Notamacropus eugenii: one gene and its partners. The protein of the gene in region 1 binds, or shares a complex with, the protein of each later gene. Links are inferred from orthologs where the notes say so. Each region holds a gene or a part of one and is shown in the gene's direction. Other genes may lie near its edges.

Region 1 (7,561 bases):
CTTTAAGTCACACACAAAATATAGTACAGTAGCTTTTAAAAGTTACAGCTAAAAAGGAGACAGGTTTATTAAAAGAAGGCAGTGGGTATTAAGACAGTGCACATGAGACTTGAGATGGTTGCTATGGAAACAACTGGATTCAAATTTTATTTTTCACAATTCCATTAGTTAAATTATTAATCAAGAGAAGTAGGTAGTCAGAACTTCCATTCAAAGGAAGACAACGAAACAGGTAGAGTCTTAGTTTGAAAACTGATAATTAAGGAAAAACTATCCTTGAAAAGACTTTACCAAAAAAAAAAAAAATCATTTGAATGACAATGGTTTTCTACTCTTGCTTCCCCACCAGTCAAGAGTGGACACAATAAAGTAAAAAGGTACACAGCCAACTAAGGCTGTCATTTCCTGCTATTAGCTCTACCATTTTGTAGGCATGATCGAGAGAAGGTTCTAGAATCATACCCAGTGCTTCCACATATTGAGACCAGTTTAAGGATTAGCTCCCCATCTCACATACATTCATGGGTACAGGCTACTTGCATTTAGTAGTGACCAGAACTGGCACCATTTAAATTGTTATTTCCACCCCACCCCCCACTCCCCGCACCTCCCACCCCCACCCCCATTGTTGGTTTTTTTTTTGGCTAGTAGGTCTAGTGGAATTGTGGAGTTGAATTTGGGTAGGTTAAATGATCATTCCATCCCACTTCTATTAGTTTCCTATTCTCACAATCCAAGGTCTTCTTTGAGTCAACAAGAAAGGCAAAAATCTCTTCAGAAAATATCGTTTTTTATATTCTGAAAATAGTTTTCAATCATTGCTCTCTAGAATGATGAATTAGAATAATTAGAATTAGAATGATCTAAAGATCCATGTGGTAATTAATAATGACATGGACTGAGTTGATGATAGGAGAGATCGTCAAAAAAAATAGTTAACTTGGCATTAAGGATGCTCCATTTGATGTAAGTCATGGAGTATCTCTTTTATTTAAAAGTGCTTGCTGGACAAAGGGCCATAGGTCACTAAAACTACTGTCAAAGGGTCACCAAACTAGGGGTGCAAAGACGAAATCATTAGTTAATTCTGTGGATAAGGAACGAGTTCATGACCAAATTAGGGGGTCACAGGACAAAATTGATAATTTTAATTATATAAAATTAAAAAGGTTTTGCACAAATTAAACCAATGCAGCCAAACTTAGAAGAGAAGCAGATAAATGAGCAACTAAGTTTCTCTGATAGACTTCATTTCTAAGATATATAGGGAACTGACTTAAATTTATAAGAATAAGAGCTATTCCTCAATTGATAAATGGTCAAAGGATATTACTAGGCAGTTTTCAAAAGAAGAAAACCAAGCTATCAACAGTCATATGAAAAAAAATTCTCTATATTACTAATAATTAGAAAAATTCAAATTAAAGTAACTCTGGGATTCCATCTCATTCCCACGGTATTGATACAGTAGACAAATAAGTTAAATGACATGCTAGAGGGTTTTGGGGAAAATAGGTTATGAAATCCAGTCATATTCTAAAACAATTTGGAAATATGCCCTCCAAATTATTAAATTATCTATGACTTTCAGCTCAGCAAAACCACTAAAGGCTCTATACCCCTAAAGAGATTAGAGGGAGAAAAAATACTCATATGCACAAAAATATTTATATCAGCTCTTTCTGTGGCAACAAAGAATTGGAAACTGAAGGAGTTCCCATCAAGTGGGTGATGACTAACAAAATTATGGTAAATGTATATGATGAAATAATATAATGCTATAAGAAAAGGTAAAGGGCATGGTTTCAGAGAAACATGGAAAGACCTGCCTGAATTGATTCTGAGTGAATTGGGCAGAACCAGGAGAACAATTTATACAGTAACAGTGATATAGTGATAATTTTAAAAGACTGAGGAACTATGATTAATAGAAGGCCCAACTACAATTCCAGAGGACTCAGGATGAAACATGTGATAGACGTTTTGGGGGGGGGAGGGAACATGGCCAACTTGGGAATTTGTTTTACCTGACTGTACATGTTTGTAACAGGGTTTTATTTTTCTGGCTTCCTGAATCTGGGGGTGGGGGAAGGAGGCGGGGAGAGAATATGGATTTAAGAACAGTGCCAGAGGAGCAGCTAGGCACAGTGGACCAAACACCCACCCTGGAGTTTGAAGGACCTGAGTTCAAATGAGACCTCAAGCCACTTACTAGCTGCGTGACCCTGGGCTTTATCCTGATTCCCTCAAATCTGCCAAAAGCGTCTGGCCAAAGATTGGGGAATGGCCAAACAAATTGTGGCATATGAATGTAATGGAATATTACTCTGGTGTAGTGGTCTGAGATCTGGCTTTGGGGAGAGACTTCTGTTCAAATTTTGCCTTGACAAATGTGACTATGGGTCGGTGAGGAAGTCACTCAACCCTTCAATGTACCTAGCAAAACAAGTTACAAAAAAGAAGCAGAGCCAAATATGAGATGGAGGAAGTCACATACAAATGTAATCACAGGCCCAGATAGGAAAAATGAAAATCATAAGATTCTCATTAGTATAGACCTGCAAGCAAGGGTTTTGTAGATGTATTCCTCCTTGGCAGTCTGACAAAGCCTATGGCCCTTTTCTCAGAATGTTTTTAAAGGTATAAAATACATAAGATTACAAATTATATTGAATTATATTGAAATAAGGCTGTAATTTTTCTCCCATCTTAAGAATTTCTGACTGGAAGTCCCCTTAAATGGTATCTAGTGCTCCTAAAAAAACATTCAGGCTCAAGAGCTTTAATTTGTTCAAGGTCACACACTCAATGAAAGGTGGAATTTGAACCTAGGCTCTCTCATTTCGGTGCTGGTGATTTTTAGACAGTTATTCTTTCAACAGACATAAGGTAAATGGGGTCAGAACTGGATGTCATTTGGAGATAAGGAATAACCTGGGAAGACTTGGATTAACTGAGGCAGAATGAAGAACCAAGGAAACCTAGCCAACGACTACAAGAACGTGAATAAATAACACTAAAAAGCATCAGAATTCCGATTAAAAAAGCAATAACTTGTGTTGATCCTAGAAAGCAAATAAAAATATTTCCCTTTCGAGTAGCAATGGAAACTAAGGGTGGGGAATGCTGCAAACGGTGGCTATGTCTTTTGGTTCCAAGGTAGGGTCTGAAAGAGGAGGGAGGGAGATCTATGTCGTGAAGAGGCTGAGGAGAAAAGAATTTTTTTTTCCTTAAGTGACTGGAAATGTCAAACAGGTGCTCAGAATGGGAATGAGTGGGTGGAAATCTTTCAGGAAATTCAGTCTCACAGCCTGTGGCATTCCCACTGCACCAGGCTAGGGAAACTAATTAGGGGGCGGAGCGTCTTCCACTCCACTAGTAGTACATTGTATCTCTACTGTAGCAGAGCGCTTTCCCCTCCCCTCTGCAGGGCCCCGGGAACCCAAAGGGCCTCTCCAAGGAGCTTTTCTCCTTCCAAGGGAAGAAATGGAGACAGGTGTCATTTGGGTGACTTGGCAAAGGATCTCCCTCTCTTTCACACACACCCCCCCCCCCCCCGCCCTCCGTTTGGTTAAGCTCACCAGGGCTCTTCCAGGCCGCATGCACCCTCCCCCTCCCTTGGCGCCCCTCTCCCCACGGAGGGGCCAGCGCTCCATTACCCTCCTGCAGGATGTGGGTGGGCTGCACCGCTTGCACCCGAAACTGCCTGGCGTTCCAGCCGGGGCTCGGAGCCCGCACCACTTCGCTCTCCGACAGCCAGGTCGCAGTCTCAAAGTTGTCCCCGCGGGCCAGGGCGTCCGCCTCGGCCCGGTGCACCGCTACCTGGTCAAACTGGTAGAGCCCACCGGCGTGATCGAAGTGGACGTGGGTGGCCACGGCCAGCAGCGGCCGCCGCACCAAGTCCTCCCCTTTGTCCGGGTCCTGCAGGAGGCCGGCCGAGTACAGGTACTCGGGCAGGCTTCGAAGCCCCAGGCCGGTGTCGATCACCACGTCCTGCTCCGTGCCGCGCACCAGCCAGATGTTGGCGCGGTTGCCCGACTCGAAGAAGCGCTCCTGGATCCAGAAGATGCCGTCGCCTAGGGACTTGTGCGCGTACCATTCCAGGGCCGACATGCCGGGGCCGGGATGTGAGGCGGGAGAGTGCGGGAGTCGGGGGGCAGGGGCGCGAGCAGACACCAGTGCGGCGGGGCCTCTCCCTCTCTCCGGGCTGCGGACACAGCTGCAGCTCCCACAGGCGGTCGGCGCCGTCTGGAGAGGAGGAGGGCTCGGCGGGGGCTCAGGCCAGGGGGGCTGGGCGCGGGAGAGGCTGCGCTGCCCAGGGCCAAGAGGAGGGGCGGGCGAGGGGCGGGGGTGGGGAGGTGGGAAGGACGCGCCAGCAACCGCAGCCTGGACCGAGCCCCCCGCGAATGGGCGTCGCGGGGCAGCGCCTTCCAATGGCAGCGCGGAGCCCACTGCAGCAGGGAGGGCGAGCGCCCACAGCGGCACCTTCTCGCTCCACCCTCCTCACCCTGGGGTGGGTCCAACTGCAGCAACGGCAGGGAGGGGGGAGGCAGAGAGAGAGACGTCTGCAGAGCCACAGGTCCCGCGCGAACGCGTGTGAGCGCGCGTGCCCGAAGCTCGCGGGGGCCGAGCGCGCCTGCCAGGGCTCGCCAAGCCGGCCAGGAAAGGGTGGGGGCGAGGCTGCTCGGGCAGCAGGCAGGGCGCCTGCCCAGGGCTGAAAAAGCTTGCTGTGCAGGGGGCGGGCCTGGGGGCGGGGCCAAGAGGCCTCAGCCGGCTGGAATTTGAATGCTGCTCTGGAGGGGAAACAGAGAAGGGAGGGGTTCAGTTTGCTTGGAGGTGGAACCCTGCGACCGGGAGAGGCTGCACAGGTAACCCAGCACCCTTTGCCTGCCAGCCTTCGTGGGCACACTTGTGAGTTTGAGAACATAAGCAGCCCCAGCCAAGCCCGGCCAGGGAGGAGAGGTAGGCGATGGGGACCTTGAGGGGCAAGGGGAGTTGATGTGGAGCCTAAGGAAAGGGCTCTCGGTTAGGAGAAGTTAATTGAAACCTAGCCCCCGGCCAGAAAGAAGTTTGGACCCCTCTGCCTCTTTCTGTTCCCATTAAACCCCAAATGTTCTGTAATGATTCTTATCTGATTGTAACCTGGGTCCCCCTTGCTGGGCTGACTGCTATGAGATTAGAAAGTAATTTACTCATTACTGAGGACTTTGTGGGCCATTAACCGCGTTATATGGACATAACCTTCTGTAGGGAAGGGATTTCCCCTCCTAGGTATTACTGGTCACTGCAGCAGGCTTGCAGCAAAGGGTAGAACATTTAGTATCTCTTTACTTACCTGTCAGCACATTAAACCGTGGCATGAGGTGAGGAGGGCTGCCAAGCTCTAAAACAAAATAAGATCTATTTTTTACACTTTTTCATGGTTGGAATAAAAGCAAGGCAAGGGGGATGGGAACTGGAAGAGGCTGAGCAAAGTAAGAGAAGATAGCTGGCAAAAGATGAATTGGGGAAGACTGGAAAGGGTGGGTGTGGCCCAGTTAGCCTCCTAAAAGAACTTTCCCTTTAACCTGCTCTCCCTACCCTCCTCCCCACCTATTGGTTGACTACACCCACGGAGATTTAGAAAATTTCCCAGGATTGTGGCCTGAGGCTGACTTTGGCCAGAAAAGCTCTTCTATCCACACAGCATTCTTGGGCCCTCCCAGGATTGAGAGTTTCTTGAAGTCTGCAATATGCAGTCATAAAAGATAATTATACGAACTCTATTTTATGGAGACAAATACTAACATGCCTCTCTGTTTGAGGAAGAGTATACTATTATCAGGCTATAAACTGCTTAGGATGACTTTAGTCATGATGGAGGTGTGGACTGGAAATTTTGTATTTACCTTTCTGTTCATATTTTATACCCCTTTAGAAAGTCAAGACAGCAAGCATTTATTAAGCCCCTACTATATGCCTGCCATGTGCTAAGTGGCAAAAGAAAGGCAAAAAACCCAGTGCCTGCTCTCCAGTAGCTCACAGTTTGATGGAGAATACAAGAGAGGTCATCTGAAAGTTGTGAGATGGTGGCCTCGATTTTTTTCAGTGAATATTATAAGTTCTCAGCTGAGGTAGAGGGGATAGGAGATCATTAGAGACTTGAGGAGGGAAGAAAAGGTTTAGAATGGATTAGGGAGCAGGACATCCTCCCTTTCTTTTTTTGGCCTGCTTTATACATAATAGGTAACTAATACCAATCTATCAACAAACCTTTATTAAGCCCCAACTATGTACCAGACTTGTGCTAAGCACTGTGGATAGGAATTGAGGCAAAGAGTCTTTGCCCCCTAGGAGCTTACAGGCTAATTAGGGAGAGATAGCATGCAGATATATGAAAAGTAAGCATACAGTAGGAAATTGTTAAGAGGAAAGGCACTAGAAATAAGAGGGGTCAGGAAGGCTTCCAGTAGAAGAAAGAATTTTAGTTGGAACTTCAAATAAGCTAGAAAGGTCAGTAGTAGGAATTTTGGAAAGAGAGAGTCCCAGGTATTAGGGACAGCCAGAGAAAATGCTCCAAACCAAGAAATGGACTGTTTTGTTTACAGAACAGCCAGGATGCCAGTGCTATTGGATCAAAGAGTGTGTGTTGGGGAGTAAGATATACAAAGACTCGAAAGGTAGGAGGGTTTAGATTATGAAGGTCTTTGAATGCCAAAAAGGTATTTTTTATTTGATCCCAAAGGCAATAAGGAGTCACTGGGGTTTTTTTTTTTGAGTGGGGAGGTGATATGATTGGACTTGCACTTAAGGAAAATCACTAGCGTCTGAATGGAGTATGGATTGGAGAGAAGAGACATGAGGCAGGCAAACCCAGCAGGCTATTAAAATGGTCCAGATCTGAGGTGATGAGGGCCTGTACTTTGGTCGTGGCAGTGTCATTGATGAGAAGGGCTGCGTTCAGGAGATAGTGAAAAGGTGAAATTGATAGGCCTTGCTAACAGGATATATGAGTGAAAATAACACCTAGGATATGAGGGATGATGTTGACCTTAACAGTGATCCAGAAGGTGAGGGACCGGGAAGGGTTTAGGGAGAAAGTTAATGAGTTCAGTTTTGAACATGTTTAATTCAAGATATCAACTGGACATCCAATTCTAGATGTATGAAAGGCCTAGGGAGATTCAAGATTGGAGGTCAGCCAAGAGCTTGGGGCAGGATAGGTAGATTTGAGAGTTATTAGCATAGAGATAGTCATTAAAATCCTTGGAAGCTGATGAGATCACCAAGTGAGGCAGAATTGGAGAAGAGAAGAGGGCCCAGGACCAAACACTGAGGGGACACAAGTTGAAGGGCTGATCTGTAAGAAGATCCAGAGAAGGAAACAGAAGGAGTGGCCAGATGGGTAGGAGGAGAACTCCGAGGGAAGGATGTCCTACAAACCCAGGAAGAATTATCAAGGAGGGGAGAGTGATCTAATGTCAAAGGCTGAAGAGAAGTCAAAGAGAATGAGGAATGAAAAAAGGCCACTCGATTTGGCAACTAAGAAATCACTAGTAATCCTCGAAAGAACAATTTCAGT
Region 2 (7,695 bases), on another chromosome or scaffold:
AGGAGGGGCTGGCGGCTTTACCTGCCCTTGCAGTGGGTCGCCTCTTGTCCCTGGGCGTCACCGGCGCCTCCCATATTTGTGTGGCCATCAGGAGAGCCTGGACGGTGATGCAATCTGCCTGCCCGCTTCGGGGTGTGACTTCGCCATCTGGGAACTTCCCAGGCTGACTTGGAAAATGTCTCCTGGGTCCTTGTCCTCCTTCCGCCTTTCTCCCACCTTCTCCATTTAGATGGAGCTGGACCCAAACCACCCTCCCCTCTCAGACCCCAGATCTGGAGCTGCGAGGGACCTCAGGGGTCCACCCCCTCATTTTACAGATGGGGAAACTGAGGCATAGAGCGCTTACGGGGCTTTCTCAAAGTCTTAAAGGAGGACCAGGAATTTGAGCCCAGGGCCTCTGGCTCAAAATCCAGGGTTCTTTTCCCTACCCCACGTTGCTCTCCCATGCTGTACTCTTTGCTCAGCTTCAGACATGGCCCTAGGTTCGGAGGCTACCCGACATTGTTTTCTATAAGATTTCTGGAAGTTGCTATGGGCCAGGATCACATGCAAAACCAGCTACAATGTAGCCACTGAGAATACCAGATCCATTCATCTGTCTGACCTGGCCTTCGGCTTCGTCCTCTCTTGTGCCTGAACCACTGACCTCAGAGCCAGCCTGGTACACTTCAACCGTAAGCAGAGAGGGCAGGGATCATGTCTTTGACCTCCCTGTGCGCACACGAGGGTGACAGGTTCGATGAAACGCCCTTAGGTGATTACACCATCTATGAGATGTCACTGGAAGTAAGTCAGTCCTGGGGACTTGTTTTTTTCTGAGTTGTCATGGACCTGACTCAGCTGGATACCACGTTACAATAAGCCTCCTAATTGGCCTGCCTTTTCTCTCCAATTTGTCCTTTGCATCCAAGCCAAATTGATGTCCTTGATATGACCACGAGGCTCAACAAGTCCCAGTGGCTCCCTCTTGTTTCTAGGAAAAAAATCCAAATCTCAAAATTTAGCATTCAAGGTCCTTTCAAGGTCCCTTCAAGGTCCCAATGCCCAAGACCCCAATCTACTCCCGACGGATTTTTCCAGACTGATGTCACTTTACTCCTCCACCACACACTCTAATCTGTAGCCAGACCATACTGTTTCCTTCTATACTTGGCCTTCCATCATATTTTTGGATAGAGGATCTCCTCAGTCTGGAAAAACTCCCTTCTCAACTCCTGTCTTCCAGGAATCCCAAGCTCTCTTCCAGAGCCCACAAGTCACTTCCTAAAGGAAGCTTTTTTCATTTCCCCTCTACCAACTGTTTTATATTTATTCACCTGGGTTCCAGTTTTTATTCCAGTAGAAGATAAACTCCCTGAAGGCAGGTAAAGTTTTGTTTTTCTGTCTTGTCAGCCCTCCTTTATGATGATCAAGTGAGATAATATTTGTAATGAGCTCTGCAAACCTCAAAGTGCTATTTAATGATAGCTATTAATAATTTAAAGGGAAGGAAAGAAGTATTTACATAGTGCCCTTTTAGGTGCCAAATATTGTGCTAAAACTGTTCAGGGTCATGCCATGATTATCCCTATTTTATTTTTTTTCAAGTATTACATATTTAGTATTTTATTTTTCCCCATCACATTTAAAAACAATTTTCAACATTTGTTTTTAAAATTTTGAGTTCCAAATTCTCTCCCTCCCTCCCCAACACCCTCACTGAGAAGGCAAGCAATTTTATTGTCCCCATTTTATAGTTGAAGAAACTGAGGCAAACAGAGGTTAAATGACTTGCCCAGAGTTACAAAGACAGAAAGCATCAGAGGCTGCATTTGAACTTAGGTCTTGATGCTGGACCCAGTGCTCTATCCATGGTGCCACCAACTGTCCCTGTCATTATTATTATTCACAAACACCCTGGATTTGGGCCAGGAAACCTGGGTTTAATTCTTGACTTTGACACTTTAGCTTTGTGACATTGAGCAAGATGGTTAGCCTTCCCAAGCCTCAGTTTCCCCATCTGTAAAAATGGAATAACATCCTACTGAGTGGGATAGGTTTAGTGAAGACTTCTCAGATTGTAATTCTTCTTCCAGGGGTGAGGTAAGGCCTAAAGGCTCAAGGTTACAATATTTTTAGAATAGAATAGTTCCATATAAGGATATAAAACTGTGTAGTGTATTAGGGTCTCAATGATTGGACAAAACTCACATAATTCCTCAATGTCTTCATTTCAAAAAGGATTGGTTAGATTTCGTGTCTAGAATGTAAGATCATATTCTCAGCTAATGAGGATAATGGTCAGTGGGGGGAGGAGGGACTTGTGTTAGGGTCTATATAAATCACTGCCCTTTTCTTTGTCTTTGTCTTTCCTACTCCTACAGGTTAGCCCCGCTTCTCGAGAATCGAATAAATCTCTTTTCTGTCATCACTTTGAGAGGCCTCTGAGTAACTGATTTATGTAGGGACCTGAACCATCCCACACACTACCTTATGGGGTTATTGTGAGGATCAGATGAGATTGTGTTTGTAAAATGTTTTCCATACTTTGAATCTGAATATAAATGCCAGCTATTATTAAAAACCTACTTTTTTTTGTCTAGTCATTTCAGTCTTGTCTCTGTGACCCTATTTGGGGTTTTCTTGGCAAAGATACTGGAGTAGTTTGCCACTTCTTTCTTCAGCTTGAGATGAGGAAACTGAGGCAAAAAGGGTGAAGTGATCTAAGTCACACAGCTAGTAAGTATCTGAGAGCATATTTGAAGTGAATCAGGGTCTGGCCAGTGGTTAAGTGCCTTGTCCAGATTCTAATCCTGACAGTATAAAAGACTCCAGTTCTATCTATCTTTCCACTAGGTCTTGTGTGTTGATGACCCTGAGCCATTAATAAAAAGACTCATCATGTTCAGGATCTGTTTTACGATTCGGTAAAATGAAGATAATAACAGCGCTTGCTCCTCCCCTGTCAAGTGAAATAATGTATGTAAAGTGTAGATATGTGTATATGTAGTAATCTAAGTTACCCTTAAACACTAAATATTAGCAATTACTATTCTCCCCCAAAGTCTGCTTAAGTAGGCAGGAAGAAGTTGCTGTGGCATAACAGATGGAGTGCTGAGGTTAGAAAAGGAAAGACATGCGTTCGAATGATGCCTTATCTGCTGGATCAATATGGTGGAAAAGCCTGATAATTTGAAGTGAGGAATTGGGTTGGACCCGACCACTGCCACCCTTCCCACTCTAAATCTATGGGTCTAAGCTGGGTGACCCTGGGTAAGTCATCTGATTTCTCTGTGCCTCAACCAGCTCCCTCAGATTTGGCATTTAAATCATTTCTGAATGGTTTCTGTCCACTGATTGAGTAATAGATTTTTCATGTAAGAAGGCAAACAAGTGTGCAGAAGACTGTTCCTCTAATAGAATTTTTGTGCTTATGGGAGTAAACCCAGAATTATTGGGGAAAGACAAAGATAAACAGAGGCAAGGTCTTCCATTCAGCCAACGAACCCTTGGTTAGATGACAGCGACTCGAAGTTTGGATAAGATATGGTCCCTGCATTCAATGAGTTTACAATCTAGCAGGGAGAAAAGAAATGTGCACTGACTAGCTAAGTGTTCTTTGGACTTGCAAAAACTCCAAGAAAGTTTGAAACGGACAGAGGATTGAGGCAGACTTGGGTCATATTCCTTTGCTTGGTTGCTTTAATGGGAAGACTTTCTGACCCAAAACACAGGAAGACAGAGTTCAAAATGCAAGTCTATGAACCCATCTCACCTCTCTGAAGGCAATGTTTTCTTTTCTTTCCTGTCCATATTTCTTTCTACCTTCTAATTAATCAATCAAATCATTAAGTGTAGGGATAGTTTTCCTTCTTTGTCTTTGTATCTCTGGCCTGGAAGAAAACTAGGTGCTTAATAAATACTGGATTGGTCAACAAACATTAAGTACCTACTATCCTCCATCCCCACCCCCCACTAGTGCAAAGTATTGGAGTGGGAGGCTCAGTCCACCAATGACTTATTAAGTGCCCGGTAAGCTCTTTGAGGGCTGGGACTGATTTTTGCCTCTTCTCGCTCAGAGCAGATATAAATAGCAATTGTTTCTGTTTTGGCCAGAAACTCTGAGGGCCTTCCCCTTCCAGATGGATTTTTTTTTTGGACTAGCTAAAAGAGGTCATTCTTTGCTCATTTCTTACCTAGCCTTCATCACTGAAGTGCCTCAGACATGCTCTGACATAAGCTTAAAAAGGTCCAGGTCTCTCACTGCATCCTGGGCCATCTCCCGTCCTCCTGATCAGTATCTGACCACTGGACCCAGATGGCTCTGGAGGAGAAAGTGAGTCCCTGCCTCACTGAAATCCAATTCACTTGCATGTCATGGTATCACCTTCTTGATTTCACCTTTAAGAATGAAGGACAACCCCAGTTCCTGCACAGCACCTGGCCCAGGGCAGAGCTTCCTAAATGGTGACTGATTGATATAAACTATCGCTTACTGACTGATCCTGAGTGCCAGACTCCACGGGCATCTGGGGCCAGCAGCAATCTCGGCCTGATTCAGCCCAAACCAGGGGAGTGGCTTAGGCTAGGGGGTCGAGGGCGTTCTCCTGCTACCTCCGCCCATCCCTGCGGCCACAGCGAGGGGGCTGGGCGCTGCTGCTCCGGGCTCGTAGCTAAGGGAGGGCACGGCGTGCTGCCGGGGGCGGCCCCGGCGTGCGTGCGCGCGCGCGGAGGCTGGGCGGCCCCGTGACGTGCACCGGGTGCCCTGCCCCCGGCCGGCGCCGCGGCCTGCAGCTCAGCGTGGACCCGGGATCTCGGAGCCGTGGGAGAGCGCGGAGGAGGAGGGGCCACGATGGAAGTGTGAGTGGGCGGCCCCACGCGTGGGAGGCCCGGGCTGGGGGAGGAGGGCGGAGTGTGCCCGCATGGCTGTGCGGGCGTGTCGGTGCCCACGTGCACTTGTGCGTGCCCGTGCGTGGGCATTCCTGGGCTGGCACGCGCGTGCATTTGTCCGCGCTCCTTAAACCCCTCCTGTGTGCCCCAGGGGCTGGGGAGAGGCGTCCTGGGAGGCTCTCGTGCTGTTCTCAGAGGCAGGGGGTTTAATTCCGAAATGAGCCAGAATCTGCCTTGTTCCTCCCTCTCCTTTGTAATAGCCCAAGAGCTGGTGTGGCCCCTGCAGCCCGCGTGGGTCCGTGGGCGTTCTGTGGTCAGGGAGGAGGGCGTGGGGGGCGCGTCCGTGGGCCTTGCTGCCTCGGAGCTGCAAGTGGGCTGGGGTTATCGTGAAGACGGGGCTGCTGGCTCTGCCCCTTCCACTGGGTATCAGTTACTGCCAATCCCAGTTTTCTGGGGAACCCCAGCTTCATTTCTCCTTCCACCCCCTTGGCATCCGCACTATATGACTGACTGGTCCAGCCGTTCAGCCCTGCGGGCTCCGGCTCTTTGCCACCCCAGAATTAGCCTTTTGGTGTTTTGGACCTTCTCCCTCCCTCTTTGACCTCTTTGGGTAGAGCTGGTAGTAATTTCTTTGGGTTAAGGGGTACGCACAGTTTGGGGGTAACTCCACATGCTTTCCAGAAAGGCTGGACAGTTCTCCATTGTACCCATAGTGTATTCATGTACCTCTTATTTCTTGTTTCCCTGTTTTGGATGTTTGCCAATCGGATGCGTGTGAGGTTGTTACATTTGTTACTGTGTCTGATTCTTCCGGTGACCCCATGGACCATGTTGACGGTATAGACCCTGGCATGGTTTGCCCTTTCCTTCTCCAGTGAATTAAATGGAACTGAAGTTGTTTTAATTTGCATTTTTCCAATTATTGGTGATTTAGAGTCTCTTCCCCCCCTTATGGCTTGGATTTCTTCTGAAAACTTCCAGTTCATTTCCTTTTATTTTGGTTTATCAATTCAGGAATCAATGATCAATTCTTATAACTTTGAATCATTTCTCTATATAACTTAGAAGTGAGGCCTTTATCAGAGAAACTAACTGCAAATATTTTTCTTCCCCATTTACCTGCTTCACTTCTAGTTTTAGCTGCATTGGTTTTGTTTGTGCAAAGACTTTAAGATTACCTGTAACATAGGTTGCCCATCTTACCTTCTGTGACTCTTAATGTAAGAGTACCCTGTGTATATGTATAGTAGGTGAGAACAAGGAATAACCAGCACTATATGTGGGGGTACAGTGGAAAACAGCATTTGGAATCAGGACATGGGGCTGAGTTCTCTGCTTCATCACTTATCTCTGTTATCTTAAAATAGATTACTTAATTTTGTTGTTTTATTGAATTGACTTCACCTCTAAGTTTCCTTTGACCTCCAAATCTGTGATCCTAGTATATACACATGTCCACATACACACACACACACACACACACACACACACACACGACAATTGGGGGTTAAGTGACTTGCCCAGGGTCACACAGCTAGTGTCTGAGGCTGGATTTGAACTCAGGTCCTCATAACTTCAGGGCTGATGTGCTATTCATTGCACTCTGTGTGTGTGTGTGTGTGTAGAGGTATTATATATATGTATGTATATATTTAAATATTTTATTTTTTCCAATTATGTAAATAATTTTTAACATTTAAAACAAATTTTAGTTCCAAATTCTCTCCCTACTTACCCTTCCTTTTCCCTGAGAAGGCAAGCAATTTGATAGAGACTTTGCACTTGTGCAAAACATTTCCATATTAGCCAGGTTGCAAAAGAAAACACAGATCAAAAAACCCCGAGAAAAAATGTAAAAAGTCTGCTTTGGTCTCATTCAGACTCCGTCAGTTCTTTCTCGAGCCAGACGGCCTTTTTCATCATAAGTCCTTTGGAAATGTCTTGGGTCATTTGGGTCATTGCTGAGAGTATATGTGTAATGCTAAGTCATTCACAGTTGATCCTTGTACGATATTGCTGTTAATGTAGACACTGTGGAATGTATATTTTAAAATGTATATTTAAAAAATTTAATATTAAAAATAACAAAAATATACTTTTTTTCCCCTCCCATCATTCTCTTCCATCAGGAAAAAAAAAAGAAAAAATGAAAACAAAACCCACGTAACAAATCAGCAGTCATTCAAAACAATCCCCACATTGTCCATCTGCAGCCTGCTTCCATCCTCTTTGTCAGGAGGTGGGTAGTGTTTTTCAACGTCTGGAATCCTGGGCTATTGTTGTTTTGAGCAGAATTCTTACGTCTTTCAAAGTTGTTTAGCAGTGAGGGGTGAGGAAGAGTGAGGAGTCACCAAGGTGATGGAGGGGCCTTTGACAGGAATGCAGAGTGTAGGAGAGGGGAAGATTTGGGAGGAAAGATGATGAGTTCAGTTTTGTTCTTGTGGAGTTGGAGGTGCCCTCAAGACATTGAGGTCCATGAGACAGAAGGAGGCCTCAGGCTGAGTGTTGGGTGTCAGTTACAGGAGAAAGAGGGGGTGACAAGGCTTGGGTACCTTTGGGATCGAGTGCCCACAAATCCATCTCTGTGGATGGAAACATGATCTGATGGGTTGTGACTTTTTTTCCCTTTTCCGGGAATATTCCTTAAATGGATCAATTATTGTCTCATTTAGCAAGAAAGAGAAAGTGATACTCATCTAGCTGTTTCTTAGAATTGGAGTTTCTAGCTTCTCACTGTTCTCTAGGGTGAGTGTCATTGGTGGAAGGACCCCTTTGGTAGAGTGAGTTGAGTCTTGGTTTGAATCATGCCTCAAATGCTTACCAGCT
Region 3 (7,812 bases), on another chromosome or scaffold:
TGATGAAACTCCCTCCACCATGTAGATCCAACCAATCTGAAATTTGTAATATTAGAGAATTGTTTGAGGTACTGAGAAGTTAAATGACTTGTTAATTATCACATTATAGCCAATACATCTCTGAGCCTGTATTTTCTACAAATATGGCTTACACACACACACACACACACACACACACACACACACACACACACACACACGAGGTTTCTGCCAGTCCAACAATCCAGACAACCAAAAAATCTGTATCACACTCTTCAGAGCTTCCTAGAAGGACTAACTCCTTGAAGGAAGCTCTTTCTGTCTCCTTTCTACCAGTGCCATCTTGATCTTACCCTTCCTGCCTTTCAGCAGTTGAAGAGAACATTTAGGAATGGCTACAGCATAATCTTTTCTCCTAAATAAGTAATGGGGGACAAACCAGAGCGCTCACCTCCACCATAAGGTATTGAGGATAAATGTAAATAATGTCTAAATCTCTTTAGCTAAATAGGGCCACTTTCTAAAGAGCTATTTTGTAATTAACTAAAAGTATAAGCTTCTTCCTGGATTTTTTGTGATCATATACAAGTTAACCTTAGAGAATTAATCACTATCTCACTCTACCTTTCCCATCTCATTACACAGTCTAGCCCAAAAGGTCTATTTGGTATTCTCTGCATGCAAAATTTTATCTCCTTCTTTTACACCTTTGCACAGACATGCCCCTCCCCTCCACGTCTGGAATGTCACTTCTATCTCTTTAGAATCCCTAGCTTCTTTTAAAGCTCAGTTCAAGTACAACCTCCTAGAAGAAGCATTTTCTAACTCTTCTAGGTGCTAACACCTCTTCCCCACCAACTATTTTGTATACATTGTAGCCCCAGACCTGGAGTCAGGATAAACCTAAATTCATATCTCGTCTTAGATGCTTACTAGCTATATGACCCTGGTCAAATCATTTAATTTCTACATTTTTAAACTTCTTGGGCTATAAAATGGGGATAAAATTTGTTGTGAGGATCAAATGAGTTAAAATTTGTAAATCACTTTACAAACTTTAAAACTAAACGTAAACGCTAGCTATTATTATTATATTGATATGTATACATGCTGACTCTTTCAATAGAAGGGCTCCTTAAGGGGAGGGGTTGTTTTCTTCTTTTTGTGTTAATCTATGCCTATATCCCTAGGCCTAGCACAGAGCCTGGTGCAATAAATACATGTTGTCTGATTAGTACTATGCCAACAGAAATAGATTTCAGGGTATGGTTTGAGGTTAAGAGATGGATGGATTTCTTCCTCTAATATTTTTATACATATAAGATTCATTTAAAATTGACATATATGAGATAGAATGGGAAAGCAGTGGTAGATCAAAGATATCTATCTGGAAAAGTGAGAAAGCATTTTCCACTGCCTGAGCCAGTGTTAAAAGTGCTAGTATTATACGCACTGATTGTATTTTATTGTACAGTATTGATCTGTTCCTTCTGAGGCAGCTAGGCGGTCCAGTGGATAAACCTGAGCTTGAGTCCTACTCCAGACTTTGATTAGCTATGTGACTCTGGGAAAGTCACTTAAAATCTTTCAGTTTCAGTTTCATCATCCATTAAATGGAGATAATAATAGTACCTACTTTACAGGATTGTTATGAAGATCAAATGAGATAACACTTTGCACTTTGCAAACCTTAATGCACCACACAAGTTCTCAATCTTCTTAGTTCCTCTCTCCTCAACTCTACCTGACAGTTCACCAGCCCATAGTTTCTGTTCCCTATTGTTAGGTCTGGTGGGCAACAAAATATTGGGTTAATTGTATTAAATCTAAAAAGGAATCCTATGCACTGGTAGAGGGATAGTCTTCACCAGAAGTTCCTTATACCAATGAAATCACAAATCTCATCCTCCCTATGATATAAAAAAAACATTAAAGAAATCTAGTATGATCTTAACATATTTGTGGAAGACAATATTGGAGGCATTGAATACACATTTAAGTATACATTTCAGTCTCTTCACCAAATCCTTTTCTGTAATGACTAACCAAAAAACAGAGACCTCTTGGTCAGTTGTATGATTCAAAATGTGGTCTAATGTGGAAAATATTCCAACACATGTCCTTTTCCTTCGAGGACTGAATTATATCTCACTTCAGATTAAAACTACAAACTTGGAGCAAGATATTTTCTTCCTTCTAATACAAAGGTTCTTAACTTTTTGTGTGTCATGGATCCCTTTGGCTGTCTAGTGAAGCTTGTGGACCCCTTCTCAGAATATTATTGTTGTCTACATTCACAATTGAAGTACACAATACATTTCCGTTAGAGGTTGGTAAAAATAAAGATGTAATTTATTTTCCCACCCAAATTCACAGGCTCCAGGAAATCCATTTGTGGATCCTTAGAGGGTGCCTTGGAGGGGTTTTTAGATTCTAGGTTAAGAACCCTTGTTCTAGAAGCACCTTGGAAGAAACTCACAGTGTTTGCACCTTCTTTGCCTCTTTATCAGGTTGGGTGTAAAATATCATTCAATTAACCTCATTATGATATGTATATACATATATAAGCATATACACTTGCCATGATATATGTGGATATACACTTTGCTATGAAATGTATTTATTCAGATACACTAGCTATATGTATATACTTATCTATGATACACACATATATAGACACTCTCTCTATATACACATATATATACGTATATACACTATATACGTATATATCTATACATATGCAGTAGCTGTGATATATGTGTGTGCATACGTATGTATTTATGTATGTATACACATATATACATATACAGAGGGCAGCTAGACGGTGCAGTATATAGAGTGCCAGACCTGCAGTCAGAAAGACTCTTCTTCCTGAGTTCAAATCTGGCCTCAGACAATTACTAGCTAGAGGACCCTGGGGGCAAGTCACTTAACCCTGTCAGCCTCAATTTCCTCATCTGTAAAATGAGCCAGAGAAAGAAATGGCAAATCACTCCAGTATTTTTGCCAAGAAAACCCCAAATGGGGTCATGAAGTCATACACAACTGAAAATGATTGAACAACAATAAAACACACACACACACATATATTATACAAACACACCACTCACCACACACTAACCTGCAACGAACACTCTAGCTCATAATGGTGGATGATGAACAAGTCTGGTTTTCCCAAAAATGAAGCCTTTACATCTGGGCTCCAAAACTCCACAAAGATATTTTAGTGTTGTTGGCTATGCCTTTGCCTCCTCCATTGTCCCTTCAGGCAGATACCATATTTAACAGTCAGGGTACAAGTATTAGTAGTGCAATGAAGCACTGGAGCAGGAGTCAGAAAGACCTGAGCTTAAATCCGGCCTCAGACACTCAGACAAGCTGGGCGACCCTGAGCAAGCCACTCAACCCCTGTTTACCTCAGTTCCCTATGGCAAACCACTCCAGTATTTTTGCCAAGAAAATACCACAAAGTACATGGGAGTCACAGTAAAGTCCGACATAACTGAACACCTGAACAACAACAAAATACACTTGCTATGTGTGTGTATATACATATACACAAGTTATATGTGTGCATATATAAATATATACATCTGTTATGTGTGTCAAAGTCACGTGCAAGTCATGTCATTATTTCTCTGACGGCATGGTCTTCTTCAGCAAAGAAGGACAAACACACACACACACACACACACACAAGCTTGCTGTATTAGCTGTGATTTCGTGGGGAAATTGTTCCCCATAATTATATACACAAACACACATCTATGTGTACAGAGGTGTGTATATATATATATATATATATATATACATATGTATACACACACATCCACACACATACATTTATACACACATATACAAAGCTTCCTGCATTAGCAACGATTTAGGGGGAAAATTGCTCCCCACAATATATATATTTATATATGTCTACTGTGGGGGGGGAGACGGGGTGGAAACTGTTCCCCACAATTACACACGTGCATAAGCTTTCTGCAGCAGCAGTGACTTTGCAGGGAAATCCTCGAGAGCGAGGGGAACCCCCAAAAGGTCTAAAAGCGCCCGCCGAAGCACACGCAGGACGGGCCTCGGGCAGGCGGCTCTACACGGCTGCGGAGGCCCCAGCAGCGGGCCCTCCTCTCTCCCACGCCAGCTTGGCAGCAGCAGGCATCCCGGGGCCGTCCGCGCAGGTGCTCGGGGATGTGCCCCAGGGACGCAGAGAAAGTCCGGGGAGCCGCGGGAAGGATAGGGGTCAGACACCCGAAGCCGGCGGGCCAAACTCGGTCGTGGTCATGCCCAAGGTCATGCCCAAACGCAGGTGTTCCCACCAGGTAAGGGGGTCCCCCCATTCATTCAGACCAGATGCTTCCCGGGTGTTGCCATCCTGCTGTCCTCCCCTGGGGTGTCCTGTGCCCGCCTAGACTGACCCCAGTTTCCGGCCGCTCCTCACCTGGCGGGTCCTGAGGACTCCAGTTACCAGAGACGCTTCAGCACCAGCCAAAACCGAGGAGACTATTTTGATTGGTTCAAATCTAGCTTCCTAGCAACTGGCTCCGCCCCTTCCAAGCCGTTCAGAGAATCCTGCTAGTTCTCTTCCTACCTCTAACTCAAGAAGCGTCTTAGGCGTTTCAATATTCGCCTGATCTATGGAAGGGAAATATTGAAGAGGAGAGCCTAAGGGGACAAGGAAAGCAATGAGTCCGTTGAATGTGTGGAGAAATACTTTAAATAGTTAACTCTGTGCACGAACCACGCAGCACCCAATTGTCAAACGGGACCGGCGTGACTTAGACAGCTCAAAGAGGGTCCTTGGCTGAGATGCGACTCAGAGAAAAAGGCCCCTTTCTGCCCAGGTGGGGGCGGAGGCCCGGGGGAGGCTGCTGGAGGTTCGAGCTAGCTCCTGCTTTCTCACCCCCGGCTGAATCATGGCTGAGGTAAAAGTGAAGGCACAGCCGCCTGATGCAGACCCAGTGGAAATAGAAAACAGGTAAAAAGGAGACGCTGGGAATGAATGATCTATAGTTTGCGTTCTCCTCTCCACCAGCCCCCCGCCTCCTCCCGGGCCCTCCTCCTTGGGATTCGCGTGGGGTCTTGGGGAGTGAAAGGTCCTGGGGAGGGGTGAGAGAGACTGTCCCGAGGGCTTCGGCCCCTCCTAACCTTTACCAGTCTTTGTGTCTGGGTCAATTCGAATTGATTTCGGGAAGTTTGCAAACGAACTCTAAATCACTTAGCTTGTTTTTGTTACAGTCTAGATAGTTAACTAAAGCTACACGTGTAGACTGAGGTGACAGTGCTGGGCGCATAGTAAGTGCTTCAAGGCTTTTTCATTCATTCATGAAATGACGTAAAAACGTGCTTTGAAAATCATTCTACTAGTGGTGATAATTGGACTATGTCTGTGGTCTAGTGTGAGGAAGTATCAGAGTTAAGGAATGCAGAATGGAACCTAAGACCTCAGGCTCTACCCAGGGATTCTTAAATTTTTTTTCTGTCAAACCTGTGAATCTCTTCTTAAAATGTTATTTTTTTAAACGGATAAAACAAAATAACATAGGATTACAAAGTTATATAGTTATTACAAAATTATAATTATGTTGCTGTGTGATTATCAATATATTTAAAAAGATAAGCGTCACAGGGCTTAGGTAAAGGTCTTTACTGTAACCTAAGGACATTCATAACGTTTTATTAATTATTCTGTCAGTAAACATACCTGTCAATTCCCCACCTAAGAGCTGGGGATACAAGGACAGAAGTGAAACAGTTTCAACTATGCTTCTATGGAGGGAAACAACGTATACGTATATAAGCACATACAAAATACATATATGGAGAGGAAAGACACTTGGAACTATTACCTTTGGTCCTTAATGCCCTGACTGGTGAAAGCTCATCGTATTTAGTTGACCCCATGCCCCTGACCGTACTTTCTCCCTATTAATCTTCCATTCATGCTGCTGCCCTTTGCTTTCCATCGTGCACTCTTCCTACCTCTTACTCTAGGAACAGCAATCAGATCAATACTTTAATTGCTTTTGGAAAGACAATCTCATTTTAAGAGTCCAGTTAATACCCTCACTACTCTTGTACTTCTGGGCCAAACTGTTCTTACCTAACCTCCACTCTCATATATGCTTTGTTTCTTCCTATTAGAATGGATGTTCTTTGAGGATTTGAATTATTTCTCTTTGATCTTTGTATTCTCAGTACTCAGTGAAGCACATAATACATAGGAAATGCCTAATAAGTGCTTTTTTTGTTCATTCACTAAACAGTTTGGAGGAAGGAGATTTTATTAAGAAGGTCAAATCAGCAAGCATCATTAAGTGGCTACTATGTGTCAGGCACTGTTCTAGGAGATACAAAGAAAGGCAAAAAAACCCGTCTTCTCTCAAGAAACTTGTAGTCTGAAACATTATGCAAACAAAATATATGCAGGGTAAAATGGAGATAATCTCAGAGGGATGGCACTAAGATTAATGAGGATCAAGAAAGCTTCTTGAAGAAAGTGAAAGGGAAGCAGGGAGGCAGAAATAGGAAGAAGAGCCTTCCAGGCATCGAGGACAGCCAGTGAAAATGACTGGAGTTAGAATTTGTGTGAGGATGTGTGAGGAAAAGCAAGAAGATCACTATCACTGGGTTGTAGAGTATATATTGTGAGAAGAATGTACAGGGGAAGAAGACTGGAAAGGTGTGTGTGTCAGGGGAAGGTTATAAAGGACTTTGAACCCAAACAGAGGATTTTATATTTGATCCTGGAGGTATTTAGGAACCACTGGAGTTTATTAAGTAGGGAAGTAACATGGTCAGACTTGCACTTCAGGAATATAGTTTGATAGCTGAACGGAGGATAAACTGGAGTGGGGAGATACTTGTTAAGGCCTACCAGTAGCTATTTTCATAATCTATGGATGAGGTGATGAGGGCCTGCAAGAGGATTTTGGAAGTGTCAGGAGAGAAGGACACCTAAGAGATATTTTAAAAGTTAGATTAACAGGATTTAACAACTCAGTGGCTATGAGGACCGAGAAAAAGTGAGGAGTTAAGATGATACTGTGGTAGAAAGGAATAAAGGGTAATATTTATGAAAAGGTATGTTGGGACCAGGCTGTGAAGGCCTTTAAATGTCAAACAAAGGAGTTTGTATTTTATTCCATAGATTGTAGAGAGCCACTAAAGCTTCTTGAGCAGGGGAGGGATGTGGTCAGATTTGTGTTTTAGCTGTGTAGAGAACTGAAAAGAGGGAGAAATCCGAGACAAAAGGAAATTACAACAATGGTTAGCATTTATATAGTGCTTTACGGCTTTGATCCTCACAGCTATTCATATCTCCATTTTATAAATGAGGAAACTGAGACAGGGAGAGTTTAAGTAATTTGCCCAGGATCACATAGCTGGTAAACATCAGAGGCTAGATTAATTGTTTCAGTAGTCCAGGCAAGAGATGATCAGAGCCTGAACTATGGTTTGGGTGTATAGAAGGGGACAGATATAAAAGATGTTTTAGTGAAAGAATTGACAAGACTTGATTGGATATAGTAGCTGTGGGATGAGGGAGAATGAGAAAGTAATTGATTTTATATGTAAGAAGAGAGAGAGTGACGGAGGATGATTCTCAGTTTATGAATTTGAGTGACTGGATGTATGATTGTGCCCGTATCAAAAACAGGAAAGTTAAATAGAGAGTTGAATTTGGGAAGTATTGAAATGCTTATTGTATATACAGTTTGAAAGTTCCAGTGGGCAATAGGTGATGAAATAGAATTTAAGTTCCTTCTTTGAGAGTAAAAACTTTGATTTTTTATTTTCTCATTGCCTAAACCAGTGCCTGACATA
Region 4 (7,872 bases), on another chromosome or scaffold:
TGTGACCCAGTGCCTCATTAGCAATTAACAAAGATGTGAGCCTTTCTACAAAACAAGCCTCCCCTAATCTGAGGCCCATTAATTGTCAGGGAAAATCTTTAAATTACATGCCCTCTGCCTCCTGATTTAGACTGAAGATGCAGCTCAAATCCCACCATCAGCAGGAAGCCTTTCTCAGTCCTCCTCCAACACTATCCCAGGGCCTTCCAACTGTTCTTGACTCCATTTGGGGAATCACTTAAACAGGGTCACACAGGTAGTAAGTATCTGAATATGATATGAACTCAGGTCTTCCTGACTGCAGGCCAGAAATTCTTTCCACTGAGCAACTACCTTCATGATTAAGGGAATGGACCTCTGTTCTGCTTTTCTTTATTTGTGTAGTGCTTAGCACATTGTAAGAACTCAATAAGTACTTGTTGACTGACTCTCCCCATGCTTTTTTTTGTAAAGGAAACTCAGAATACTGCTTAGAATCAGGTAAAATAATTACAGCTAATGACCAATATTGGGTCCAGGGCACAAATGAAGGAACATAGCCCTCCCTTAAATAACTCTCAGGTAGGGGAGTACAGGAGCAGCGAACAAGGCTGGTTGTCTGTTGTTTTTTTAAACTGTTTTTCTTGGTGACAAAGGATGGTTCCTTGAAGGAGGATATTGTGGGAAATATGTTTTTTAAAAGACTCAAATAAAATTTTATGTTAAAAACAGGCAAATGAGGGACTAATTATTTTCTTGATATGGCAATACTAATAACTAACATCTGAATAGTGTATTAAGATTGTTGTTGCTAGCGAACAACAGAGATTGTATGATACACATATCTTTGCATTTCACAGTCCTAGGTCACTGCATTCAACAGTTGCACACTAGAAAGTGTTCAATAAATATATGTTGATCTTAAAAGGCATCTTTACTGTAAAACTCATCTAGGAGAGTAGTTCACTGCTTGTTTTTGCAATAATCACTTGAAGGAGGCTGTAGGATAGGAGGAGAGTAGAGGAAAAAGCAGGGAAACTGAAAGCTAAAGTGTTGGGTTTAATCAGAAGTGAAGTCAAAGAATTCCATTTGATTTACATGACTTCTTTTTTTTTTAAGGAATTTTCCTCTCTCATGTAAATTGAGACATGATGGTAAGAGCTAAATGGCAGAGTGGATTGAGCTTTGGGCCTGAAGAGGTAAAATTCAGCCTCAGACACTTACTAGCTGTAGGACCCTGGACAAGTCATTTAACCTTTGTTTCCCTCTATTTTCTCAACTTTATTTTTCTTATTTCTTTTTTCAAGATTATTTTATTTATTTCCTCAACTTTAAAATGGAGTTAATAATACCACTTATCTCCTAAGGTTGTTGGGAGGATCAAATGAGATAATATTTGCAAATCATTTAGCACAGGGCCTGACCATGTAGTAGATACTTAATAAATTCCCCTTTCTTTCCTTCCGTGTCTTGCTTGACCTGAATAACAAAATTGCCCTGGCTGGGTTTTCCCTTATTATGTCTGGGCTTCGACCATCACAAGGTCATTTCTTGCCTGCATGGTGACAATGATGTCTCATTATAGTGACTTGTGCAACTATATATTTCATGCTAATTTCAAAACAGGTAAGTCAAGTCCTTGCTCTCAGACACTCCTTAGCAGCTCAGAAGTAGCCTAAGAAGCTAGAATAGAGTGTGATTAGATCCAGAGAAGAATGGGATAGGGATAGTTTCTGGTGTCATTCCCACAACTCAAAATCAAAAAGATGTGTGCCATTACATCCTCTTGTTAAGTGTTTAACAATCTGCTCTCTAAAAAAATATACATAGAACATACTCAAGTTTAATTTTCAGTATTAACACTTTCTCTATCATTTTCTTAAGTCCAGATAATCAATAAAGCAATAGGTCAAGATCTAAAATATATAGCATTTGCTGATTTCTGAGGCATAAATTCTCACACTGAAAATTTAATCAAACTTAAATAGTTCAAACACTAGCTCCAGCACACCCCTGCAATGACCCCTATCTCCTCTGTTCTCCTTGCCTCTATCACCAGATTCTCCCCTAGATATTTTTCTTTAATAACTCCAGTTTAGCAAAGACAGGGATTCTTACTTTAGTCTACTGAGCACAGGGAACTCTGCTTGGATTCTACTCAAGCTTTAGCCCTAACTCATCCTATGGAGTGGAGTCACCCTCCTATATTCTCTGGCTTCTGCTTCATTTTTGACTTGAGGACATTTCAGCTTGACAGTTTCAAACAGGTCTGTGAAATTAGGGTAATGAAGTAGGTCAACTAGAGCTTAATCAGCTCTCTGGGAAGCTCTGAGTGGCTGGTTTCAGCCTGTCTAAACTCGAAATATGGGGATCATCTGTATATATGTACTTTTCATTTGTCAAGAATTTGCTGGCTTATAAATTTCTTGAAAGCAGGAATTGTTTCCTTTTTGTCCTTGTATACCCAGCACCTAGTACAGTGACTGGAACTTAATATAAACTTATTGGATTGAATTGGAATTGAATATATGTGTGTATGTATATGTATATGTATACATACATACACACATGAATATGAACTATCCTCTCATAATATTTTGGTATACTCAAGCATTTATCAAGGTACCAACCAGGATGTAATACCTCTTCACAATAATTATCTCATTTTATGGGGAAATGGGGGAAATTTATTGGCCCCAAATGTCCACCTGGTACCTTCTTTGTTTGCTTTGTTAAATCCCCTTTAGTACTATGGAATTTGTTTTAGATGGCAAGTTTTGAGTTCAGTTATAATTGTTCTGGAGTCCCCAGTTAGGAAAATCCCTAACACTTGGGCAGAGTTATACTCTCTGCCTCACATTTACTCTATTACATTTAAGTCTATCTTTCGTTAATCCCTGATTTCTTTGCAGGTGAGGCAAAATTCAGTTTACTGGAAAAATATGGGTAATGAAACATCATATAATATTATAGTGACTGTGGCTTCAACAAGGGAAGTTGGGACAGAGATGTCCTTTTCTCTGGATTTCCCTCAGCCTGGGCCCTCCTCCTCTCTGTGATGCCTGTTGAACCAATAACTCTCCTCTTTATTTTCTTTTTTTCTGGTACAGATTATTTCTTCCTTTCCCCTATTTGCTCCAAATCTATTTCTCTTTTTCAGACAGATGTTCTTCAAACAAGCTATTTCATCTCCCTAATGCCAAAACTTTCACTGGCTGTCTCCCATGCCTGGGATATTCCTTCTCCTCCTGGCTTGCCTAACTTTCTTTAAATTTCAGGTAAAAGTCAAGAAGTCTCATATCCCTCAATGCTAATGCCTCCCTTCTGAGATTACCTTCAAGTCATATATATGTATGTGTGTGTGTGTGTGTGTGTGTGTGTGTGTGTGTGTGTGTGTGTGTGTGTGTGTGTGTATAGATAGATAGATGATCGATAGATAGATGATAGATAGATCTGCATTTCTTTATAGGCTTACACAACATCTCACAATTAAGTGTTCAATCAATGCTTGTTGTCTTGACTTCTTCCTTTCATACAAATTTCTTAAGGAAGTCTCTAACACAATGGCTTTGATTGATTCAAAGAGGTACACAGGCCCTGTTCACACCCTGTTCTGATGGAGGATCCCAACAGAAAGTATTTTCATCTAATCAAGGAACCAGAGCCAAACGGCACAGTGTCTACCTTACCTAAGGGCATCCCTTTCCAAATCAAATGAGAAGTTCACAGAGCCACTCACAGACCTTCATATTCCTCTTTTCTTACGGCAATAATATTCCATTACATTCATGTGCCACATTTGCAAAAACAAATTTCCAAACGGTGGTCCCTGCGTCCAATTCTTCCCTGCTGCAGAGTGCCGCTTGACCATTTGGATACATGCAAGCTTCCCTTCCTGGGCCGGCGGGGCTGTCAGGGCGCCGAGGTGTGGCCACTCTGGTCAATTTCAGCATCATTCCAAACCGCCCTCCAGCACGGCTGGGCCGCCGCGCAGCTCCTCTGACAGCGCGCTCTGTCCCTGGCTTTTCCCGGCCTCTTGAACATCAACCATTTCTGCCTTCCGTCATCTTCGCTAGAAGTGGAACTTCAGTTATTCTAACTTAGATTTTTCTAAAGGTCACATGGCCTTTACTTTTTACTGTTCTCCTTTTGGGAATGCTAGGAAGAGCTGTCTGATTTGGGATGGGGTAAGCTAAAAACAGCACACATGAGTGCGGTCATGCGAATGGAAAACACTGTGAAAGGGCCCTGAAGACCTGCCCCAGAAGGGCTCCCCCTTCCCAGCCTCGGAAGGGGACAAGCACCCACGCGCGGGGTGGCGGAGCCGGCTGGTTATTTCCTAATGTTTGTCTCTCTGGGTAAAGGGGAGGGGAGGAAAAGAGAGATAATATGAGATTTAAAACAAGACATTCATAAGAAATGGGAGGCACTTTTTAAAAAGATGTATATTTTTTATTTATAAAGAGAGAACAACAAGTCAGTCTTTACCGGACAGCTCGATTCCACGCGAGATCCAGGACACACCAGGCTTGGAGTTTGGCCCGAAGGACGCGAAAAGAAGCCGCTTTTGTCCTCCGGGGACTAACGGTCTGGGAGGGAGGCGCAAGAGAGGAGACGGAGGGCTAAAATCCGGAAGCTGGAGGAGGATGAATTCTACTTCCGGGAAGCTCTGACTCTTAGAGCGTCCAAAAAACAAAACAAAAAAAAAAAAACAAAACAACTCACTGTCATAGATTGACTAGAGCTCAAGAAGCCGCCTTCTGTATCTAGGTAGCGTGGCCGAGCGGTCTAAGGCGCTGGATTAAGGCTCCAGTCTCTTCGGGGGCGTGGGTTCGAATCCCACCGCTGCCAGAAAGTGGCTTTTTTTGGTTCTCCCCATTCCCCCGCGCTCCAGCGCCACCTGCGGCCTGCGAGCAGAAGTTATCGGTGGTAGGAAGGCGAGGAAGGGCCGCTCCTCTCCAGGCACCGAGGTAGGGGTGGTGCAGAAAAGGTGGCGGAAGGGAGAGAAGGCGAGGAAAGGGGGAGGTGCCTCGGCGCCACCTGCTGGTCCGGAGAGGAAGTGCGGCCCGGAGAGTGGGGAGAGCTCCGCTCTGCTCCGCTCCGGGGCGGGGCATTGTGGGTAAGAGGAAGAGCCGGGGGAGGACCCAACTCCCCCCACGTGTCTGCTGGAGTTTTACCAGCAATATGGCTGCTGCCTGAGAGAGCTGGGCCCGCCGCCGCCGCCGCCGCCGCCGCCGCCGCCCCTGCAGCTCGCGGAGATAGCTGCCGCTTCTGCCTCCTGCTTCCTCCCGCCGCTCCTCCTCCTCCTCCCGCTCCTCCCCCGTCCCTGCCGCTCCCCCTGCAGCCGCCCCCTCCCCGACGTCCTCGGGCCCGGTGAGTGAGAGCTTTTCTGTCGTGGGGGCCGGGGGACGTCCTCGGGGAGCGGCGCTGGAGCCGGAGGAGGCGTCGCGGCCGTGCTCGGGGGCTAGGCCCGGCCCGGCCCGGAGCGGGCTCCTGCGGCTGCCCAGGTCCAGGCGTCCCGGAGGGCGGGCCTGAGAGGGGGGCCGCGACCGGGGTGACTGTGCAGGGCTGTGGGGAGGCGCCCGGGGTGGCTCCCTTGCCGCTCCCACGGTCGGGGGTGGGGTCTCCCGGGGGTTGGCCATCCTCTGACCCAACACCCCGGGGCGCTCTTGCTCCAGGAGGTGCGGAGGCCGGCGGATGGGGGTGGGAGGGCAGGAGTGGGGGGGCTCCCACTGGGCTGGACCCCCATCCTCGAGATGGGGGGCTTGGAACTGGGGAGGCCGAGTTTGCCCATTGACCCAGCAGGCAGTGGGTAACTCCAGGTGACCCAGCGGTGCCACCCTCTCCTGGAGACACCTGCCTTTGAGAGGTTAGGTCTCCACGGCCGGTGACAGCTGTGGGGGGCTGACTTGGGGAAGAAATAAGTGAGTCAGAGTGGGGACGGGGCACTTCCCGCGGTCCTGGGGCAGAGGTGGTGTTGGCAGCACCTTAGAAAGAGAGCCCAGCAGATGGTGGCATGGACAGGTGGAGAGCACGCCCCTCGGGGTAGCCTTCCCTGAGAGCTGCCCTTCTGCCATCTTACCATCCTTCCACCCAAGGATCACCTTAGAATCCTGGACCTCCGGGAGAGGCCTTGGCACTCTCTGGTCCAATGACCTCTTCTTATTGAGAAGCCAACCTGTTCAAAGTCATGCCGCCAGTTTGTGGCAGCTCTGCCCTTTTGCCATCGTTAAACCCTAGAGGTTGTGCGATCGATGCCCCCCTTGGTTCAGGCTGGTTCTTTAGGATTTCCTCCTTTCTGGCTCCCCTCCCCAAAGTACATGTACACATCCCCTCTTAATCCTGGAGAATTGTTCTTTGGTCCAGTCTCCGGGTTTGAGATTACTGACCATGTTAGTTCCCGGAGCCCATTTCAGTTTTCATGATTTCTTAAAAATATTTGCATCATTTTCAAATGTGGAGTAATAGCAGAAATTCCCCATTCTTCACCTTTCCTAGGGTTAGAGGTCAAGCCGTCTAACACTAGCAAAGTATTCAGGTTTGTAAATGGCTGAGAGTCAGAGGAGACCAGGGCAAGATAGTTTGACCTCAACTCTGGATCTCTGGCTTTTATGAGAATGGCAGGGAACAGGTCTACTTCCTTTCTGGAGATCTCAGCATCCCTGAGCTTGCTCCAGCTTTGGTGTCATGCTGTAAATTCTCCATTCCTGGTAACTTAGAATTGGCTGATTTCATTGTCTGACTAGTCTAGACCTAAAGCAGATCGCTAGAGAGCCAGACGAGAAGGGCAGTGGCCCTGGCTATGAATTTCTATGAGTTGCCGCGGACAGGATGTTTGTTTTTTTTTTTTATTTTTTGTGTTATTCTTCATGCCTCTTTTTCTTTCAGTTGGTACTGACATTTGAGAGGAGAACCTGGCTGCTGGTGTACGGCTCCCAGGGCAAACCCACATCTGCCCGTCTGGGCAGGTAGGTATGTGCTCTCCAGGCCTTCTGTCTCTTCAAGATCCCCTTGGAGACAGAGGGTTCATGAGGCTGGGAAGAGGCTGTTTTCTGTTGTTGTTGTTTTGTTTTTGTTTTTTTGAATAAAGGGAAAAGATTTTTAAAAAAACTTAAGCTTTCCTGGCTAGGATGGGTGGAAAAGTGGTTACTAAGGTGGTACATTGAGTTGACTATTCAGGAGAAAGGTAGAAACATCCAAATATAAACCCCAGAAAGAGAGAATAGCAGAAGGGTAGCTGAATACTGAATCTCCATTATACCTTCTTTCCTTTTGAGCACTTTATCCCCTGTAGAAGTGTGTGTACCATACAGCTGGGCACTTGGTTTTATTTCTTCTTGTATTCTCTAGTTCATTCATTCCTAAGTGCCAACGGTGAAGACACTGAGGGAGATACTAAGAATAAAAAAAAACCAAGGATACAGTGTAAATGTGAAGAGAAAAGATACAAAGTGTTAATGACTGTATAGTCTGGCAGGGAGGACCCTGATAATTGAGAGGATCTGGAAAGGCTACATTTGGAACTTGGTTCTTGGGTAGCATTACAAAGGAAGAGAGGGATTCTATGAGTTTACACTCCTTTTTATAGATGATGAGGAGGACTATATGTAGATTTGTTTCTCTGAGCTATGATTTTTTTTTCTCTTTGGGTGTTCGCTCCACTTCAGCAAATCTGTAACCCCTGAGTTGATATGGCCAAAAAGTTCATCATCATGTGGTCATCCTGGTGATGCACCTTCTTTAAATGACAGCAACCAACCCTCATATTTCTGATGCTTTTTTCTGTCACAGCCATTTCCAGATATACTTTCTAGCCTTCCGCTCAGTGAGCCTTCTCTTATAACATTAAAAAAAGGTTAAATAAAACTTACACAGGAAACATGTCTGATGGCG

What was found.
Region 2: POLR3G (region 1) and CRCP share a complex: the UniProt entries of both Homo sapiens proteins name them as parts of the RNA polymerase III complex. The link is inferred for Notamacropus eugenii from reciprocal best matches to the Homo sapiens genes POLR3G and CRCP.
Region 3: POLR3G (region 1) and POLR3F share a complex: the UniProt entries of both Homo sapiens proteins name them as parts of the RNA polymerase III complex. The link is inferred for Notamacropus eugenii from reciprocal best matches to the Homo sapiens genes POLR3G and POLR3F.
Region 4: POLR3G (region 1) and POLR3E share a complex: the UniProt entries of both Homo sapiens proteins name them as parts of the RNA polymerase III complex. The link is inferred for Notamacropus eugenii from reciprocal best matches to the Homo sapiens genes POLR3G and POLR3E.

The regions. Positions count from the first base shown.
Region 1 is NC_092875.1:450,149,647-450,157,207, reverse strand, and holds the start of POLR3G (DNA-directed RNA polymerase III subunit RPC7), read left to right. Parts: upstream 1-4,552; 5' UTR 4,553-4,785; coding exon 4,786-4,868; exon of another isoform or gene 4,869-4,962; intron 4,963-7,561. Other genes in the region: acyl-coenzyme A thioesterase MBLAC2, read right to left, coding at 3,660-4,113. UniProt on the Homo sapiens protein: DNA-dependent RNA polymerase catalyzes the transcription of DNA into RNA using the four ribonucleoside triphosphates as substrates.
Region 2 is NC_092873.1:43,130,570-43,138,264, reverse strand, and holds the start of CRCP (DNA-directed RNA polymerase III subunit RPC9), read left to right. Parts: upstream 1-4,679; 5' UTR 4,680-4,831; coding exon 4,832-4,839; intron 4,840-6,998; exon of another isoform or gene 6,999-7,108; intron 7,109-7,695. UniProt on the Homo sapiens protein: DNA-dependent RNA polymerase catalyzes the transcription of DNA into RNA using the four ribonucleoside triphosphates as substrates.
Region 3 is NC_092872.1:593,328,045-593,335,856, forward strand, and holds the start of POLR3F (DNA-directed RNA polymerase III subunit RPC6), read left to right. Parts: upstream 1-4,802; 5' UTR 4,803-4,901; coding exon 4,902-4,963; intron 4,964-7,812. UniProt on the Homo sapiens protein: DNA-dependent RNA polymerase catalyzes the transcription of DNA into RNA using the four ribonucleoside triphosphates as substrates.
Region 4 is NC_092874.1:396,629,044-396,636,915, reverse strand, and holds the start of POLR3E (DNA-directed RNA polymerase III subunit RPC5), read left to right. Parts: upstream 1-4,866; 5' UTR 4,867-4,949; intron 4,950-5,213; exon of another isoform or gene 5,214-5,352; intron 5,353-6,867; 5' UTR 6,868-6,947; exon of another isoform or gene 6,948-6,951; intron 6,952-7,872. UniProt on the Homo sapiens protein: DNA-dependent RNA polymerase catalyzes the transcription of DNA into RNA using the four ribonucleoside triphosphates as substrates.